Linked DNA regions of Xenopus tropicalis. The protein of the gene in region 1 interacts with the protein of each later gene in a biochemical or structural test. Links are inferred from orthologs where the notes say so. Each region holds a gene or a part of one and is shown on either strand. Other genes may lie near its edges.

The links. The genes of interacting proteins can lie anywhere in the genome.
Region 2: of the proteins of gsk3b (region 1) and klf5, one has a biochemical effect on the other in vitro, tested with the Homo sapiens proteins (2 studies listed by BioGRID). The link is inferred for Xenopus tropicalis from reciprocal best matches to the Homo sapiens genes GSK3B and KLF5.
Region 3: of the proteins of gsk3b (region 1) and rictor, one has a biochemical effect on the other in vitro, tested with the Homo sapiens proteins (2 studies listed by BioGRID). The link is inferred for Xenopus tropicalis from reciprocal best matches to the Homo sapiens genes GSK3B and RICTOR.

Annotation. Positions count from the first base shown.
Region 1 is NC_030678.2:1,904,337-1,907,836, reverse strand, and holds part of gsk3b (glycogen synthase kinase-3 beta), read right to left. Parts: intron 2,688-3,500; coding exon 2,483-2,687; intron 2,206-2,482; coding exon 2,107-2,205; intron 1,493-2,106; coding exon 1,425-1,492; 3' UTR 1-1,424. UniProt on the Homo sapiens protein: Constitutively active protein kinase that acts as a negative regulator in the hormonal control of glucose homeostasis, Wnt signaling and regulation of transcription factors and microtubules, by phosphorylating and inactivating glycogen synthase (GYS1 or GYS2), EIF2B, CTNNB1/beta-catenin, APC, AXIN1, DPYSL2/CRMP2, JUN, NFATC1/NFATC, MAPT/TAU and MACF1.
Region 2 is NC_030678.2:127,155,012-127,158,511, reverse strand, and holds part of klf5 (Krueppel-like factor 5), read left to right. Parts: coding exon 1-699; intron 700-3,323; coding exon 3,324-3,383; intron 3,384-3,500. UniProt on the Homo sapiens protein: Transcription factor that binds to GC box promoter elements. Activates the transcription of these genes.
Region 3 is NC_030677.2:197,070,334-197,073,833, reverse strand, and holds part of rictor (rapamycin-insensitive companion of mTOR), read right to left. Parts: intron 3,459-3,500; coding exon 3,320-3,458; intron 2,186-3,319; coding exon 2,111-2,185; 3' UTR 1-2,110. UniProt on the Homo sapiens protein: Component of the mechanistic target of rapamycin complex 2 (mTORC2), which transduces signals from growth factors to pathways involved in proliferation, cytoskeletal organization, lipogenesis and anabolic output.

The sequences.
Region 1 (3,500 bases):
TGCCTACAGGGACAGTTATTATAGTTCTACATGGAACAAACCAACTGTGAGGCTGAGGCGCCCCCTGCTGGGCAGAATACAAATCTACTGGTATCGCCTTGTATTTATACAGCATCTGATTGGCTAGACTCGGATTTATACAGTACCTGATTGGATAGCGTGTTCTGGGCACTTCAGCAGCTGCTGGGGCAGCAGGGCAAACGAACAGAGACTGGGGGCAGGTTTACTGCCAGGGCTGAGACACTGTACAAAGGGAATAAGCAGGGACTGGTGCCCGTCAGTAGCCAGAGGAAAGGGTGCCAGCCGGAGTAGGGGTGCCAGTGAGTCTGTGTGGGTGAAGCCCCCATTTATCTGCACCATTCCAAGCGTCAGTAGCAGCAGGGGGGGCAGTCTGACATGCGGGGGGGGGTAGTTGTGGCTACATATGCCCGTGCCATACACAGGCCGGACTTGCCACTGACAAACACAGGAGGCCGGAGGCATCTGCCATCCTAATGCCCTTGGGCGGCACAGGGTGAGGTAACTTGCTCCTGTTATAACAATGTATGGCTCATGTGTTAACTCCTCGGCGCCAGCGTACAGTGAAAGGGTTAATCCTTCTACGTCTCACAATCACACCCCCCCCCTGGATTTGGCAAAAACAGAAAAAAAAAAACTGACCAATTAACGACAGACTGGGAAAGCCAATGAAATGTATCTTTTGGCGACCCCCCCCGACAGCGAGGGGAAAGGAATGGGGGGGCTGCGCGTGCCTCTGAGCCGGGGGTTCAAGGGGGGGGGGGCGCACGGATGCAGGCTGTACAGGCTTCCAACCCGCGCACGTAACGCAATAAGGCACTCTGAGAATCAAACTGGTGTGGGGGGGCCCGTGGGGGGCTGCTGCAAACTGATGGAACCTCAAGAGCTTTCATTCTATGTATTCCGTACAGCCAACCCGTCCCTGACTACCACCAACCCCGGTGATTACAGCAGAATCCTTAGGGGGGGGAAAGCAGATGGGGGTGTGTGGGAGGAGCTTAGAGCGCGGCGGTGGCCTATACCAGCGCAGGAGAAGGTAACCAGTCCGAGGGAGAGAGGAGAGGCAAATAAAACAAAAAACAAACTTCACCTCTCGGCTCTCGCAAGGAAAACTCCATCGGAGTGAGATTTACAGAGAAAAAATTAAAAAAAAAAAAAAAAAATTAAAAAAAAAATCTGTATTTATAGATATTTTACAAGGTTAAATAACAATAATAAAAAAAAAACTGAACCACTAAAAATGAACAGAAGGTGGCGCTTCCTTTACAGTTTCAGCTTTATCCTTGGTGGGTGTGGCCAGTGTTTGCGAGTCCCAGGGACAGGGTGGGTGGCGCCCTCTCTCTGTTTCCCAACCCCCTTTGCTACTTTTTGCCCGTTTTTCCCGTGAGCGGCGCATGCGTGGGGGCTCAGGAGGAATTGGAGGCCGACGCGGAGGCTGCGTTGGTGCTCGTACAGCGCTCCCCGGTGCTCGTCTCTGCAAGGGAGAGAGATGGAGAGTCACTTTGGGCAGAAATACAGGGCAACAGGATCACTGGCAGGGAACTGCAGGCCGGCAATCCTTATATCTGCCTGACTGGGGCACAGTATCCGCCTGACTGGGGCACAGTATCCGCCTGACTGGGGCACAGTATCCGCCTGACTGGGGCACAGTATCCGCCTGACTGGGGCACAATATACAGAAGCCTTTGGGCTGTTTATAGGGAAACGGGATCACTAGCAGGGAACTGCAGGCCGGTAAGCCTTATATCTGTCTGACTGGGGTAAAACTGCCCAAGGGAAAGCTCTATAGTCACTTTATTGTCCCCTGAGCAGCAATAATACCGGCTGGGGGCAGCACAGGCAGGAAACTGATAACATGGGCAGTAAGCCTAGGGCTTGGGGCAATAAGCAACATAGTTTATATGTAGGGAAACCACTAGGACAATAAACTTGCTGTGGTGCCCGACACACTGCCTCCAAGCATCACAGTGTGAGTATAACCCCATTGGTCAGGGCCTGTGTAGTGTAAGGGGGTACAGAACCCCCCCCCGGAATCCTTGGCCCCCCCATACCAGCATAGGGACGTGGGAGTTGCCCCTCTCTGCTCACCTGATGCCGATGTCGAGTTTGACGGCGTGGGCACGGAGGCCTGGTTCCGAGCATGGGCAGGGATGAGAATAGAAGAGAGGGAAGGATTGCTTGACAGCTCTGTAGTAAAGAAGAAGAAGAAGAGAAGCTGCCTCAGTCTCGGCACTGGCCGGGGCACCCACAGACTGTGGGGCAGATTTATTATAAGGTGTAACATACATCCCCGGTGTTGCTGCCCATAGCAACCAATCAGCAATTACATTTGAACCTACGCGTTAGAAAATAAAAGCAAAGATCTGATTGGGCGCTATCGGGAACATCACCAGGGACGAGTCTATACATTAACCCCCGACTCCCAGCAGCCCTTTCCCTATTGGGCGGAAGGGAGACGCGTTACCTTGAGTGGTAAAGTTGAAGAGAGCAGGGAATTCGCGCCCGTTGGGCAGTTTCAGATTGGGGTCCCGCAGTTCGTCGAAGAAGGAGTGGGCGCAGGCATCCAATGGGGTGAGGCGGGCAGTGGGCGTGTACTCCAGCAGCCGACTGCACAGGGCGATGGCCTCGGGAGGGGTGCGCGCCCGGAACACCTGCAAAAAGACATAACCCTTTAAAGATAAAAAAAAAAAATACAGATCTGACTGAGTGCTGGGATCGTATCCCTGATCGGGGGTGGAGCAGATGGGATGGAGGCGGAGCCTTCTGCACCTACACTAACTGCCCCTGTAACAGTGCCCCCTGCTGGCCAACAATTTCCCCATCAATCCCCACTGACAGTTTGGTTTAGAGGGCCCCTCCCTCTGTCTGTCAATCATAAAGTGCTGGAGAAAACACAGCAGCCAATCCCAAGCAGTGGGAGGGGCCTACAGAGCATAATGGGGAGAGCCAACCCATCCCTTTAATGAAATCTATTCACAGTCCTACAATCTGCCCCAAAACGTGTCCCACCATCATAAAAAGTGCTCTTATCTGCCCCAGTCCTACCCCAACAGCCATACTATGATCTCTTCCCTATATCTGCCCCAGTCCTACCCCAACAGCCATACTGTGATCTCTTCCCTATATCTGCCCCAGTCCTACCCCAACAGCCATACTGTGATCTCTTCCCTATATCTGCCCCAGTCCTACCCCAACAGCCATACTGTGATCTCTTCCCTATATCTGCCCCAGTCCTACCCCAACAGCCATACTGTGATCTCTTCCCTATATCTGCCCCAGTCCTACCCCAACAGCCATACTGTGATCTCTTCCCTATATCTGCCCCAGTCCTACCCAACAGCCATACTGTGATCTCTTCCCTATATCTGCCCCAGTCCTACCCCAACAGCCATACTGTGATCTCTTCCCTATATCTGCCCCAGTCCTACCCCAACAGCCATACTATGATCTCTTCCCTATATCTGCCCCAGTCCTACCCCAAC
Region 2 (3,500 bases), about 130 Mb from region 1:
CTGATATCACTCACTTAAGAACAAGCCTGTATAAGAGCCAGAGGCCACCCGTGACCCATATCAAGACAGAGCCCACTTCAGTATTTAGCCACTCAAGTGATGCTGAACCCACACAGAGTCTTCCTGAATTCACCAGCATCTTCAGTTCCCACCAAAACGCAGATGTTAATAACATCTACATCAAACAAGAGCTCCCTTCACCAGAGCTTCCGCTCTCTGTCAATCCTCAGCAGGGCCAGTTATACCAGCTTTTAAGTTCGCCAGACATTGATATGTCTAACTCCACAAACCAACCCTCAGTTATGGACACTATTAATAGTGCTTCCATGGCCACAGACATGTCTGCCTTTAATACACTTTCTTCTCCAGTACAACAGACTGCAATGAAACAATTCCAGAGCATCCCTCAGTGCTCATATGGCATGCCTAGCCAATTTCTGCACCAGCAAGAAGGAACCTACTTTCCACCTTCTCCTCCTAGCTCTGAACCAGGCAGCCCAGATAGGCAAGCAGAGCTTCTCCAGAGTTTAAACCCTCCACCATCTTATGCAGCCACGATAGCATCCAAGATGGCCATTCACAATCCACCCTTACCTGCACAGGTGCAAATAACAGCCCCTGCTATACAATCTGTACGCTACAACCGTAGAAACAACCCAGATCTGGAGAAAAGGCGCATACATTATTGTGACTACCCTGGTAAGAACCTACATGTAATTGTTCAGGGGTTTATACAAGGTAACGGTCTACTGACTTAATCAAAAGCTTAAAGGAGAGCTAAAGCTTAACAAAGAATGTGTCTAGACATGCAATGCCTTATGTTTTGGGCTTCTGTACTAGCCCAGGGCCACTAGCCATAGCCCTTTAGCAATGAAGGTCTGTGCCTTTGAATATGCGCACATGCTCTGGGCTACTTTCAGCTACCTCAGCTTAGGGACATGTGCACAATAAATAATATATACACTATACACTACAATAATATAAAATCCACCATTCAAGGATTATTGGTAATTAATTCACATTACTCAACAGCAGAGAAACCAAGGTATTCTGAATTTAATCAGCTGTGTAGCATCACCAACTTTGACATATACAACTTTAACTTTCTGGTAGTGTTTTTTACTTGCTTAGCTTGCCAATACCAGCCCCATTGAGTACATGCAGTGCCACAGATACACAAATGATTAAGATGGGGAGCTCCCATGGACAACTTTTTAAGACCTGTCCTACAGCTGCTAAACTTTTGGGCTAATAAAGCAAGTTTGGTAAATAAACATGTCTAGCAGTATTCATTTCTAGGTTTTAGTTCTCCTTTACTTATAGGGTGCATATTTCTTGTTCATTAGATAGTTGGATATGAATGAGACCATGATATATTCTTTACACAATACATTCCTTCTCTGAATATTTGTATTTAAAAATATGAGCAGGTGCTGCAGTACTGTATGTTTTAGCAGAGACTGAGCATTAACAGTACTGGTACCCCTAGTGATTATAATGAAATGGATTTGTCCGACATGGAGAATAGTGAGAATTTTGCATAAAAACTGCAGAGATGGAACCTGTACAATAATAAACCCATCTGACCTGTGTGTATAGTTGTGCATGTTCCACCTGTATATGGACATGCGCATGCAAGAATCTGGGTTATATATGTCACTGTGGCGAAACTGTACTTTGACAGCACTTATTTAAAGTAAAATCTGTCAGGTTTATAGGGCTCCATTTTGTGTAAAGAACGTCATCACCAAGTCAGGTTACCTCTAACCTTGTTGAATTTAGAGCAGTTAGATGATTTAATAGGAATAACAAGATTTTTATAAGCATCCTGCTATTTTAACGTTAATGTTTAACTTGTGTCTTTAAATCTACAATGTGCTTTTGCTTTTCGCATTCTTTATCTAAAACCCCAGTCCTTTACAGTGCAACACTGGGCAAAGAGATTAAAGGAGATACTACTTCAATAAGTAATAGTTCCAGGACAAATATGGTTGTTCTGTATATGAAAAATAAACCGGGGTTATTTGTACGACATGTTTCAAACTGGATTAAGTTATATAGCATATATGAAAAGAAATGACTATATATTAACTAAGAAATAATTTTAACAAATGAGTTTCATATTTTGAAGCATTGTATAACATAGGAGACCTTTCTGTGTGGAGAACTTTCTATATGAAGTTTATGCACACTTGGATAAATGTTATCTCTGGGCCTTCTGTAGGCTCACACTGACTTTTGGTGCATACTTCCTGAGATATATACACATTTTCTAGTGAATTCTACATATTTTAAATGCTTCGCCATTATGTCAGTGGTCAGTCTGAGGTTGAACAGGTCGAAAACAACACAGATCATCCCTGCTCCCTATCCATTGAGGGTCACCAGCATAGTGCTGAATTTAGCATAGTGAAGCAAATTAGGAACTGACTCGGTCAGTAGTGCTTTATTTGCACCCTTATGCAGTCATCATGATTTAGATTCCAACCCTTATACATAAGGGATGTAAAAATGTAAAGGAAATGAAAGGTGTTTTCAGTGAGACTTGAGGATGCCAGCACTAATTGTGCATGAGTTAGGACAGCCTTTTAATGTGAAAGTTAATCATTAGGAACAGAAAGAAAATGATAAAAGTAGCAGAGAGTCCAAGCAATGCACAGAAGCAAATGTGTCACTTTCATGTTAGCAACAGCAAATGCCAAAGTAATAATAAACTGCGCTGTACTTATAATTCTGGAATCTCCCTAGGTATTTTTAGAATGCAAGAATGCAGATGGATATCTAAAGCTCTGAATAACTTTGATAAATAAGTCCGCTCAATAGGAATAAATATACTTGCTCTGGCATTTGAAAAACTACACCTGTTGCAACTTTGAGGAATTCTTTTTTTCTTTACACAGAAAACCCACAAGGAATTCAGATTCTTCATATGTAGTATTTTACTCTTGTTAAGGGCTATGGCACATGGCGAGATTTTAATCATTTTGTTCCCAGAGGTATATAGTAGCTAGCAAAATGGGGACAAGAAACTGAAAAATTGCCCCTACACTTCTTTGGAAATTGCACTGCGCAGTCAGGCTATTTTTGTTTGGAAAGTGATTGCACTATACCTGGCAATTGTTATAGAAGTGAATTGGGGGGGGGGGGCATTGCCTTAAAAATGCGGGGGCTGCTTTTGGCATCATAGCTGCGAGTATCCTGCAAAAGAATACATTAAATGCCTTAATGGTAGACAGAGTGTTAGCGATGTTCTCTGGGCTGTTGCTTCGTGAAATGTTCATTCACAATGATAACCACCATGCTTTTTTACTCTTCTATTGCAGGGTGCACAAAGGTGTATACAAAGTCATCCCATTTAAAAGCCCACCTGAGAACACATACTGGTATGTGCATTTTTTGTTCAATTTAATGGCTGTGTAAATATTATCAATAGAAGTCTCCTCTTTTTGAAGTTGGTATGTTTTTCAATCTAAAACCTCTCATTCATGGCTAATTTTGTC
Region 3 (3,500 bases), on another chromosome or scaffold:
TTCAATACAATTAAGTAATGGCAGCTGTGGGAAATGCTACCATTTTTGCCAAAATATTGCAGATACGCTAGTTGGCTTCAATGGCAAATCAGACTCTCGCAAAAAGTACTGGGATCCAATCCAAAGCAATTCCTGGATTCAGCGCACCCCTAGTATGTGATAAACAGGCCCAGACTGGGGGTCAAAATAGCCCCTGGCATATCAAGTACACAGGGGCCCAACCAGCCCCCCACCAGCCCAATAAATAGTGACTATGGCACCTTACAGCAGCCCCTCTGGCATTTGCCAGACCCACAGATTGCCAGTCCAGGCCTGATACATGAATCTATTACACATTTAATAGAGTAGGAAAAAGGCTTACTGTGGAAAACATTAGCTACAATACAAGTTCCCCACTTATGGGAGTCAAAGATAAGTTTCTATAAATACAATAGCCAATTGCATTCAGGTTCCAGAAGGGAAGGAGAACATGACGAATAGTTTATATAGATTACTGATATAAAACACCATTAGGAAACCCTACTGCCAAAGTGCTTTAAATTCATTGTGCCTTGGCATTTACTCTTTTGTCTATACCCCACGGTAAGGACACTGTCCTTTATAAAAGTCCTAAGCGCAAGGCTCACTTGGCAACAGGACCAAGCTCCGCCCCATTTGCAGGTAATCGGTGCCCCTGTCTATTATGACTTCCAGTGAAGAAACTGGACAGCTGGGGATATGATTATATATATCATAAGAGAGATTAAGGGCATTCTGTAGTCCCTACAAGACTAAACCCCCTGCAGGTAAGTAGGACATATCTTGTGAGAGAGAGACTGACACCTTTCAGCTAAGAGCTCACTGAATATTTGCACAGGTTCCAACAGTCCAGCTGAATGATATATATACACATACACACACACATATATATGCTCAAGCTGGTCAACAGTTTAAAGGTTAATTACATACTCATGTAGTGAAGGTGATCATGCTGTATATATACATATTTGCATATCTGCGTCCTTTTGCTGCTAGAAAGCCCTCCATCGCCATCGCACCGCAACGCATTGAAGGCAGAGTTTCCGGCAGCAAACAAACATACAAAAAAAATCCCCCCCCCCCCCCCCCCCCCCCCTGAACATCTCCATCCGATTTTAGATAGATATGTTTTTAAAAAGCAAAAAAAAAGTGCCTGTGTTGAAGCCATCGTCCTCTCCTGTACATACAAACCAGTCTTGTGCAAATAATTAAAGAAAAATAAAAAGTACTTGCTTTAATAGGAAGAGGGAGGGAGGTTCGGGTAGCTCCGTATGTTCACAGCAATCCTAAATCATATTAATTTGTCTAATTAATAAATGTTGAGATTGTCTTTTATCATGGAATGTGCAAAATTACCTTCTAGCCTGATTGCCACGAGAGCCATGCCGTAGCACTGAAATGTATTATGGCTGCTGCAAGCTTCTAGACTGGCCACAAAATGGCACTGTGTCAGATATTGCCTAGTGATGAATAAGGAGAGCTACGTTAGTTTCCTTAACCAGAGAAGGATCAGTGTTGGTTCCAAAACAAGAGCACACAATGCATGACATGGCAATAAAATAGGTTTAGGGCGAGGAGTCCGAAAATGCAGTGGCAATGGAAAGGTTATAGGAAAGGGAGGAGGTGCCTTAGCCGGTGCTATAAAAACAAGAAGAAATACATTATTTCCAAGTAGTGTTTTGAAAATACATCACAGGGCCTTTGTCCCTGAGCTGCCTCTATACAACATGGCAAGTCTCCGCTGACTGGAAGGGACATGCAGGGAAGTACCCATCTGTCCGTAGAGAAGGCATTGCGTTGCTCGCCAAGAACAGCGCAGGAGTCGGCATTTCCTGTCCGAGAGATTTCCGCATGGTTATTTACAGGTGAGCGGTGCAGGCGTTTCAGTGCTTGGCTCTTGCATACATAGATACTGACTATTAGGGTCCCCCCAGAAATTGCCAGGGAGAAGCAGGGTGCGTCGGTGTTCGGGCTCTTCCTTCCCCTGGCAGGTACCAGTTTGCACCGGAGCAGGATAACAGGACGTGCTCCTCCGTCTGTCCGTCTGCTTAATCAGACAAAGTCATTTGCAGTCTTCCGAGACGACTGAAGGTCAGGATTCCGGTTCCGTACTTATTACCATGGGCTTTGGTGGCACCGCTAGGAGAGCCTCGGCCTCTTCATGCATCTGCATTAAACACACACCCAGTCAGTGCTCCCCCAGCATATTGTGGTGCCAGCACCAACTGCCATCACAGCACACAATCTGTCAACTTGGGTTTAAATTAACTTTTAGTATGATGTAGAGAGTGCTACTGAGACAATTTGCAGTTGGTCTTTTTTATGGTTTATGGTTGCAAGGGTCTGATTTACCCTAGAAACAAAGCAGTGATTGGAAGGAGAGATTGAAATATAAAAAGGCCAAGGCCTGAATAGAAAGAGAATTAATAAAAAGTAGCAATAAGATTGAAGCCCCACAGAGCAATAGTTTTTGGTTGCTGGGGTCAGTTACCCCCCTCTAAAGGCAGAAAAAGAAGACAAATAAACTATTAAAAAAAAAACAAAAAAACGAAGACCAACTGCAAAGTTGCTAGGAATAGGACATTCTATAACATACTAAAAGTTAACGTAAAGGTGGACCACCCTTTTAAATCTCAGATCTGTAGTAGTAACCCTAGGGTGCTGCTGTCGGAGCTTGTGGGAAATTGTGTGTCTGCAAGCAGAGAAGCTGCAGGCGTATGGGTGCAGGCACAGGGAGCGGATTTTGCTGCAGAAACCCATTATTGCACTGAAATCCACTCCGCGTGTCTGCACCCTGCCTGACGCAGTGCCTCTGACTGCAGGCACAAAAATGGGTGGAAGCCAGCCGATTGGCTGATTCCCTCTAATCACACTCCATTTTCACCCAACAGTGTAAAGCAACAGGGTTTATGGGTGCACAAAACTGATCCGCCTGACCCCCTGAATGCCTCACACAGAGCCCCTTACACATTGCACCCCAGCTACCTAAACAATTACTGCTCTACATGTTTTTCAACAATATGACTAATGTCATGTAAAGTGTGCTGCCAGGCACCGCATCAGCCTGTGTGTACTCACAGAGTGTTTCAGAGTGGAAATGTATACCTTTGCCTTTTGTGCGTATAGACTGATGCATTGCCTCTCAGTGCATTTAATACAGAGAGAGGTGGGTGGTTCCCATTGGCTAATGCTCCACCCGTGTTGTCACACAGTGTGACATTATACTAATTAGCCTCAGCTTCTGGCTGCCATGGTAATAAAGGGCAAAAGATCCCACTACAAGTCATCTGTACATACTCACAATCTGAAACTGAACATCTTGAAAGAGCTCCTGAATAAATCTCCGGGAAGGGAGTCGAAATGTGCAATGTGCTAATAAGTGGGAAACCTCAGAATAGAGGCAAATGTCATCAAATGCTTGAGGAAACTTCTCCTTAATCCTTAAAGACAAAAATAAAATACATATGAACACAACAAGGCGA